2 linked regions of the Mus musculus genome follow. The protein of the gene in region 1 interacts with the protein of each later gene in a biochemical or structural test. Links are inferred from orthologs where the notes say so. Each region holds a gene or a part of one and is shown on either strand. Other genes may lie near its edges.

Region 1 (3,510 bases):
AGATCCGATGGAAGGTCATTGAGTCTGTGAGCTCTGACGGTCATGAGTACATCTACGTGGACCCTGTGCAGTTGCCTTACGACTCCACCTGGGAGCTGCCACGGGACCAGCTTGTTCTGGGTCAGTCCTAAGAGGTGTTAAGCAGCAGTGGGCACACTCAGATTTGCTCCCATCATGGTTGCTACTAGCTAAGGCATAGAGCTGATATCTTGCATCCTCTGGATCTCACTATCCTTTCTATATGGTGAAGATAAGGTGACCCCATAGCACCAAAACTCAGGGATCCCAAGACTGATATGGGACCCCTTCAGGTCAAAGAGGAAGTCCTTTGGATGTAGGCCAGGGAGTCTGAGGCAGGTGCAAAGGAGTTGTGCGTGTCCCTAAGAGACAGGAGGTCTTTCAGGGACTACAGGGGAGGCAGATAGCATGCAGGATCTAGAGGAGACCCAGAGGATGGGAAACTTCCCAAGGGGAGCACAGTAGGGCGGTTGGAGGGATGTGGAGGGTGATCTAAGGGAATATTCCCCAACCTAAATGGGAAATGGGATGAAGCTTGAAGCTTTAGCTTCCAGGAGCTGAGGGTCTCTATGCATCCTAGGACGCACTCTTGGCTCTGGGGCTTTCGGACAGGTGGTGGAGGCCACAGCTCACGGTCTGAGCCATTCGCAGGCCACCATGAAAGTGGCTGTCAAGATGCTGAAATGTGAGTCCACCCGCCCCTTCTTCACACCCGAGGCCTCACTCGGTCCCTCCCTTCCCTGGGCTTTTTGTTTCTTCTGAAGGAGCCTGGCCCTGAGGTTGTGGGACCGAAGGGTGCTTCTTCCTCCTTCTCTCCCCGCCTCCCACCTTCTTCCCTCTCTAATACAGTCCACCCTAGGACACTGGTGGTGTGACAGGATGGGGCAGAGGAAGCAGAGTAGGCCCTGGCAGGGCCTCTATACCACCTCAGTGGCCCACCCAGGCTGAGTCCCTCTCCCCCCTCCAGCGACAGCCAGAAGTAGCGAGAAGCAAGCCTTAATGTCCGAGCTGAAGATTATGAGTCATCTTGGACCCCACCTGAACGTGGTCAACCTGCTGGGGGCCTGCACCAAAGGAGGTACCGAACCCACAACCTGGAGGATTCTGGGGCTCCTCTCTTTCCTGTTCTCCCTCAGTCCACCAGCAACACAGGACACTCCAGCAGAATGTCCACACACCTGCCGCTCAGCGTTCTTATTGCACTGTCCTAGATGGACTTAGTTTCAGGATCTCAGAATCACAACTCCTTCATGATGAAGAGATTCTTCAGGCCGCTAGTTCCTGCAGCTTTAGAATTCAAGTCTTTTATGACTCTTCCTTCCTTCCTTCCTTCCTTCCTTCCTTCCTTCCTTCCTTCCTTCCTTCCTTCCTTCCTCCCTCCCTTCCTTCCTTCCTTCTTTTTTCTCTCTTTCTTTCTCTCTTTCTCTCTCTCTTTCTCTCTTTCTCATTCTTCCTTCTCTCCTTTTTTCCTTCCTTCCTGTCTCCTTCCTGTCTCCTTTCTTTCTTTCTTTCTTTCTTTCTTTCTTTCTTTCTTTCTTTCTTTCTTTCTTATTCTCTCTCTTCCTTCCTCTCTCTCTCTTCCTTCCTTTCTTTCTTCCTTCCTTCCTTCCTTTCTTTCTTTCTTTCTTTCTTTCTTTCTTTCTTTCTTTCTTTCTTTCTTTCTTATTCTCTCTCTTCCTTCCTCTCTTCCTTCCTTCCTTCCTTGCCTGCCTGCCTGTCTGCCTGCCTGCCTGCCTTCATGATGAAGTCTTGCCTGTATGTCAGTGTTCCTGTGTGTGTGTGTGTGTGTGTGTGTGTGTGTGTGTGTGTGTGCGTGCATATGTATGTGTGTCTGGTACTTGAGAAGGCCAGAAGAGGTCATCAGATCCTCTGAAACTGGAGTGACAGATGGTTGTGAGCCAGTGGGTAGGTGCTCGGTATTGAACCAAGGTTGTCTGCATGAACAAGTGCTCCTAACAGCTGACCATCCCTCCCACCTCCTTTTTCATATTTCCACAATACATTTTGAAAACCGTGAGAAAGTAACAGAGCCCATCCATGTACTAACCAGGAACTGGCTTTGTTTACATCAGTGTTGGAAGTCATTCTGCCAACTGCGATGATCTGAGGGCCTGGTTACCCACTGGGCTGTCAACATCGTAATAATCATGAAGTTATTGCCCTTTGCAGCTGCTTGTTGTGAGATCTGGGATTTTCCTCGGTGTTGTGTAATCAGCCTAAATACAGAAGTACATTGCGCATGGACTGTTGTCTGTGCTTGCAATGACCGTATTTCTTTTTTTTTTCTTTTTTTAAAAAAAGAATTCTTGTATCTTTATTCATGAGGGTTCTACTTCTCTTATAGGCCTTTTATATTTCTATCAAGGCAAAACATACTTCATTATAAATAAAGGAGGCAGCTCCCTCCACTTTCTCAAGTAATTGTTTAAAACTAATATTGGAGGAGCTAGAGAAAGCTCCCAAGGAGCCAAAGGGGTCTGCAACCCTGTAGGTGGAACAACAACATGAACCAACCAGTACCCCCGGAGCTCGTGTCTCTAGCTACATATGTATCAGAAGATGGCCCAGTCGGCCATCATTGGGAAGAGAGGCCCCTTGGTCCTGCAAACCCTATATGCCTCAGTACAGGGGAACACCAGGGCCAAGAAGTGGGAGTGGGTGGGCAGGGGAGTGGGGGCGGGGGAGGAGAGTCTGGGGGACTCCTGGGATAGCATTTGAATGCAAATGAAGAAAACACCCAATCAAAAGTATAAATTAATCAAAAACAACCCCTAATATTATATTCATACTTAAATGTTTGACAGAATTCACCAGTAAAGATATTAGACTTAGAATTTTCTTGGGATTTTATTTGGGGAACAGTAGAGAGACCGAATCTATGTACGAATTGTCCTGGAACTTGCTATATTCACCAAAATGGCCACAAACTCACTGAGACATGTCTGCTGAAAGCTGGAATTAGTATTGTGCAAGCCCCAGCTTGGAAGATTTTTTTTTAATTTTTTAAAATTAGGTTATTTTCTTCATCTACACCTCCAACGCTATCCCAAAAGTCCCCCACACCCTCCCCCACACTCCCCCACCCACCCACTCCCACCCCCTGGCCCCGGCGTTCCCCTGTACTGAGGCACATAAAGTTCACAAGACCAATGGGCCTCTCTTTCCAATGATGGCCGACTAAGCCATCCTCTGATACATATGCAGCTAGAGACACGAGCTCTGGGGGGTACTGGCTAGTTCACATTGTTGTTCCACCTATAGGGTTGCAGACCCCTTCAGCTCACTGGGTACTCTCTCTAGCTCCTCCATTAGGGGCCCTGTGTTCCATCCAATAGCTGACTGTGAGCATCCACTTCTGTGTTTGCTGGGCCCTGGCATAGCCTCACAAGAGGCAGCTATATCAGGGGCAATGACCGTATTTCAAAAGTGTTATTTTCATCTGTTAGATGGCTCTCAGTGCATTGAACTTAAGTGTAATCAGCAAATTGCACT
Region 2 (3,998 bases), on another chromosome or scaffold:
AACAAACAAACAAACAAAAAAAAAACAAAAAACACCATGGCTGCATACCTCTGATAGCTTGTTTTAAAAGGCTGCCTAACTTACACAGAACAGCACACAAATGGCATCATTGTTTTTTCACATATGTCCTTTGAAAACACCTTGAGAAATGTTTCTATCACTCATTTTTTTAGGAAAGAGAAACAATTCCAAAGCAACATTTGAAGTCCCTCTGGATGGGAAAATGAATTTCCTAAGTCTCTATGGGAAGCTTCCCGGTCCTTTTGTAAGAAATGTTAGCTTACAAGTTTCCCCAACCACTGTTCCCTACACTGCTCTGCACTTGCAACAAGCAGTCTTGAATTCTTCAGTCATTAAGGCTCATTATGAACATCAGAAAATCATTTCCACGAGCCTCATCAGCCCCAGTGCACACTGCAAGCCAGTCAGTTAGAAGCATGTGTGCCCTACAAAGCAACCAAGCCCAGTCTTGCCAGGGCAAATTAAGCTAATGCAAATGATCAAATAAAGGACTACAGGTCACTATGCAATCAGTGACTATCGGGCTGTTTTCAAGGGGTCATTCGGTCTGCTCCAACAAGGAAAGCTCTGGAGAGATTTAGCAAGGATGAGAGCACATTTCTCAAACACCTGGGTGCTGCTGTTTGTCAGCAATGTTCAGTACCCCAATGTTCAAGACAGAGGTCAGGAATAAGCCCGGATCAAAGAGAAAGGGAGGAAGAAGACTGAAGCAAGGACCCATGGGGAAAGCAAAACTGAAAGCCTGGAAATGGACTGAAGAGCCTACAAGGAGTTGGAAACCACCTTTTATAAGTTCGACCCATTTTAAAGGGGGTCAGTCGTCTCTCCATCGGTGGGCAAATCGCCTATCAAGTGTCCAGAGCTCACATAGCAACTTCCAACCCTGAAACTGGGGCTCTGTTCAAGCACGTGTAAGAAACTGAGAGCAAGACAGGCAGTAAGCTGTAAGTCAAAGCTTTACAGCTGCACAAAGTTCTCATTTCAGCTTCAGGTCACTGGGACCTTTACGTTCTTCAATCAAAACTACGCTAACCTACCAGGAGGTGAGAAAGTTTAAGGGAGGATTGTCACTTGTGGTCACTTAGGAAAGACCCGAAGGTGTAAAACCTTATCTGTCTAAAGTGCACTTTCTCCATTGTGTTCACTGGCTGCCTTCGCTACATAAACCAGGCACATGCACGAGAAAGTCCGGTTTCTACCTCTGTATCTATAAACACTTGGAAAGTGAATGGAGGGAGTGCCCACAGCACAGTTGAGATGTTCTGATAAAGTAGTGACCTTTAGACTAGAAAAACCACAGTTGCTAACTATACCAAAAAAAAAAAAAAAAAAAAAAACCCAGGCTGGAAACACACCCAAAATTATTCTCATTCCTCCTCAAAATCTCTGCAGAAAAGCCTGTATTGGGAGAGGAGCAGAGAAGTCTCCAGGGGAGGATACCAGCAAGCCACGCCCACTGGCCAACGGGCTGTTTCTTTTTGGGTCAACCAAGGAGCAGGCCTGTGCACCTCCAGCCCAAACTCGGACCTGTTCATCCCACACACAGACGCAAACTTGGCAAGACTGGCCTTAAACCTGTTAGCAAAATAAGGAGAGCCAAATAAGGAGGAAGCGGCCAACCTGAATGGGTTAGGGTGGCAGGGCCCACTCCACTTGGCACCCAGCTGTGTCCCCAAGCTGTTCACAATACTACTGTAAGTCACCTCTGCTATCCATTAACCACCACCCGCGCACACCTTCCGGGAGGATCGCTGTTGTGTATAAATAACAGCGTTTTGCAAATCAAACCTCTCCACACAATGCCAAGCTAACAGCGCTCAAAAGGGAGGTGCCACCGGGGCATTAAAAGTCACACATCAAATTCTTGCAGAACCACTTGCTTAAATCGCCCTGAATAAATAAACTGAGGGGGCAGAGCAACCGGGAAAAACTTTGGTTGAGGAGGTTTAAGTCTTGGAAATGCGGGACCGGGCGCAGGGACTGGAAGGAACCAGGCACAAAAGCGCCCTGCGCCGAGGCAAGGACCTCCTTTATGGAACGTGACAGCAGCTTTGTGCCGGATCACGAATAGTTCTAAATACTGGAAGTTCTCCCCGGCCATCGCAGCCTCCCGCTTCCTAGCGCTGTGGCCCTCAGATCCCAGGCTATTCTTCCCAGGCACGCGCGCCCGGCGACCTGGCCACTGTTCGGTCCCACGCCCGCCCACAGGCCAGGGCTGCTAGTGTTCCCGAGGGCTTTGGGTCCTTGGTCCCCGGAGTCCGCCCGCGGAGGGCGCCCCACCCCCACGCCAGCCCCAGGCAGAGGGAGGCGAGGGCTCGCAGGAAGGTGTGTGTATCCGAGGTGCGGGTGCCCGGGGACGCCAGGCCGCGGCGGGGCTGAGGGCACCGGCCGGGTACGCAGGGGTACGCGCTCCCTGGCCCTCCCCGGGCGGCCGCGGCCCGCTCGCCCCTCTCTTCCAACTCCACGGACCGGCCCAAGTTTGCAGCCCCCGCCATCGCCTTACCTCGCCGCACAGTGCACGCCGAGGCCGGAGGGCAGCAGCGCGAGTCCCGGGGCGGCGGCCGCGCTGCGCCCGCCCAGATGCCGCTCTTTGTCTGCACCGCTCCCTCCTCCCGCCACCAAGCGGACGCAATTGGACCCGGCGGACCCCGCCGGCCCGGGAGCCCCGAGCCTGCCTGCCGCCGAGCCCTCCTCACCACCACCGTCGCCGCCGCCGCCCGCTCGGCCGCGCGCACCGGCCTGCGATCCGCGGCGGCGACCCTCCCGCGCAGCGCCCGCCTCCGCGCGCTCCCCGCCCGCGCTCCTCCCTGGCTGCCGTGACGCCGCCCAGGGGCCGGCCCAGCCCGGCGCACGCGGGGCGGGGGACCCACCTGGGAGTCCCAGCCAGGCCTCGGGAAAGCGCCGCCTGGGGGCTTCAAGCCGTAACCCGCTCTAGATTGGAGCTGGGGGCACCCGGGAGGGGCTGCTAGGGATAAGGAGGTGCCACTTGCAGCCCACGAGACCGGGTGGTCTCCGCACCCGGCTGTGCGTCGGGAGCCTTACAGCGACCTCCCTACCCCGCCCCCCAAGCATTCCCACGGCACTCTCAGCCAAACAGGCCTGGTGTCTGTCAGAAAAGTGACTTACATAAAAATGTCACTTCCTCCCAGTAATTGCTTGTGGGCATTTTCTTTATTTATTTGCCTTGCATTTATTTACTTTCCCATCCAGACACTTTTTTACTCCATCCCCCCCACCCCCAACCTCCAGGCGGGACCACTTCCTAGTGGGGGAGGAGAGGAAACCCGACCTCAGCTGCCTCCGCAGCGTCCTGGCCAGTTTATTAGAGCCCAGGAATTCTTTAGTACAGGAGGCTGAGAAAGCTTTAGAAGGAAACCTTGCTCTCCCAGACTTGAGTAGTAGCTAACCTATAAGCAAACTTGGAAAGCTAGAACCCTGGATCGAAGAGAAGGACTGGATCCAGAGGTTTCTTCTCCAAGCTCCTTCGCTCCTTATACCCCAAAGGAACCCCTGATATTCAAATAAATTCCGCTTTCAGGTCGGACGACTCACATTTATGTTAATGAGATTCAACCCTAGCCCTTGTTTCCTCCTTATTAAGGCAGAAACAATTCACCCTACGTAACAAAAAAAGAAAAAGAAAGAAAGAAAAGTTGCCTGCCTTCTTATAGGAAGTTCCCAGGCATAAGTAACGTGAGGAAGCTTGGCTATAGTCCTCGCAGCCATTGACCGTAGGCTCCTGAACTGTGTCACCTTACACAGGTGTTTCACAACTTCCTCGGCTTTATCACATGAGATGTTTACCTGCCTTCTATGTTAAGTACCTGGCACGTAGCCTGACACGAGGGCACTAGGAGGCATCCTGTACAAAATCAGCACACCCAACAGTCTCTTCCAGTCGGAGATGCTAGCTTCATCCGTTCTTTGTTACAGACCTCATCTTTGTTACTATCTAGCTTTACAACAATGAAGGCAGA

Evidence for each region. The genes of interacting proteins can lie anywhere in the genome.
Region 2: the proteins of Pdgfrb (region 1) and Nck2 form a complex in vitro, tested with the Homo sapiens proteins (2 studies listed by BioGRID). The link is inferred for Mus musculus from reciprocal best matches to the Homo sapiens genes PDGFRB and NCK2.

What each region holds. Positions count from the first base shown.
Region 1 is NC_000084.6:61,072,643-61,076,152, forward strand, and holds part of Pdgfrb (platelet-derived growth factor receptor beta isoform 2 precursor), read left to right. Parts: coding exon 1-120; intron 121-598; coding exon 599-703; intron 704-985; coding exon 986-1,096; intron 1,097-3,510. UniProt on the Homo sapiens protein: Tyrosine-protein kinase that acts as a cell-surface receptor for homodimeric PDGFB and PDGFD and for heterodimers formed by PDGFA and PDGFB, and plays an essential role in the regulation of embryonic development, cell proliferation, survival, differentiation, chemotaxis and migration.
Region 2 is NC_000067.6:43,444,554-43,448,551, reverse strand, and holds the start of Nck2 (cytoplasmic protein NCK2), read right to left. Parts: upstream 2,802-3,998; 5' UTR 2,525-2,801; intron 1-2,524. UniProt on the Homo sapiens protein: Adapter protein which associates with tyrosine-phosphorylated growth factor receptors or their cellular substrates. Maintains low levels of EIF2S1 phosphorylation by promoting its dephosphorylation by PP1.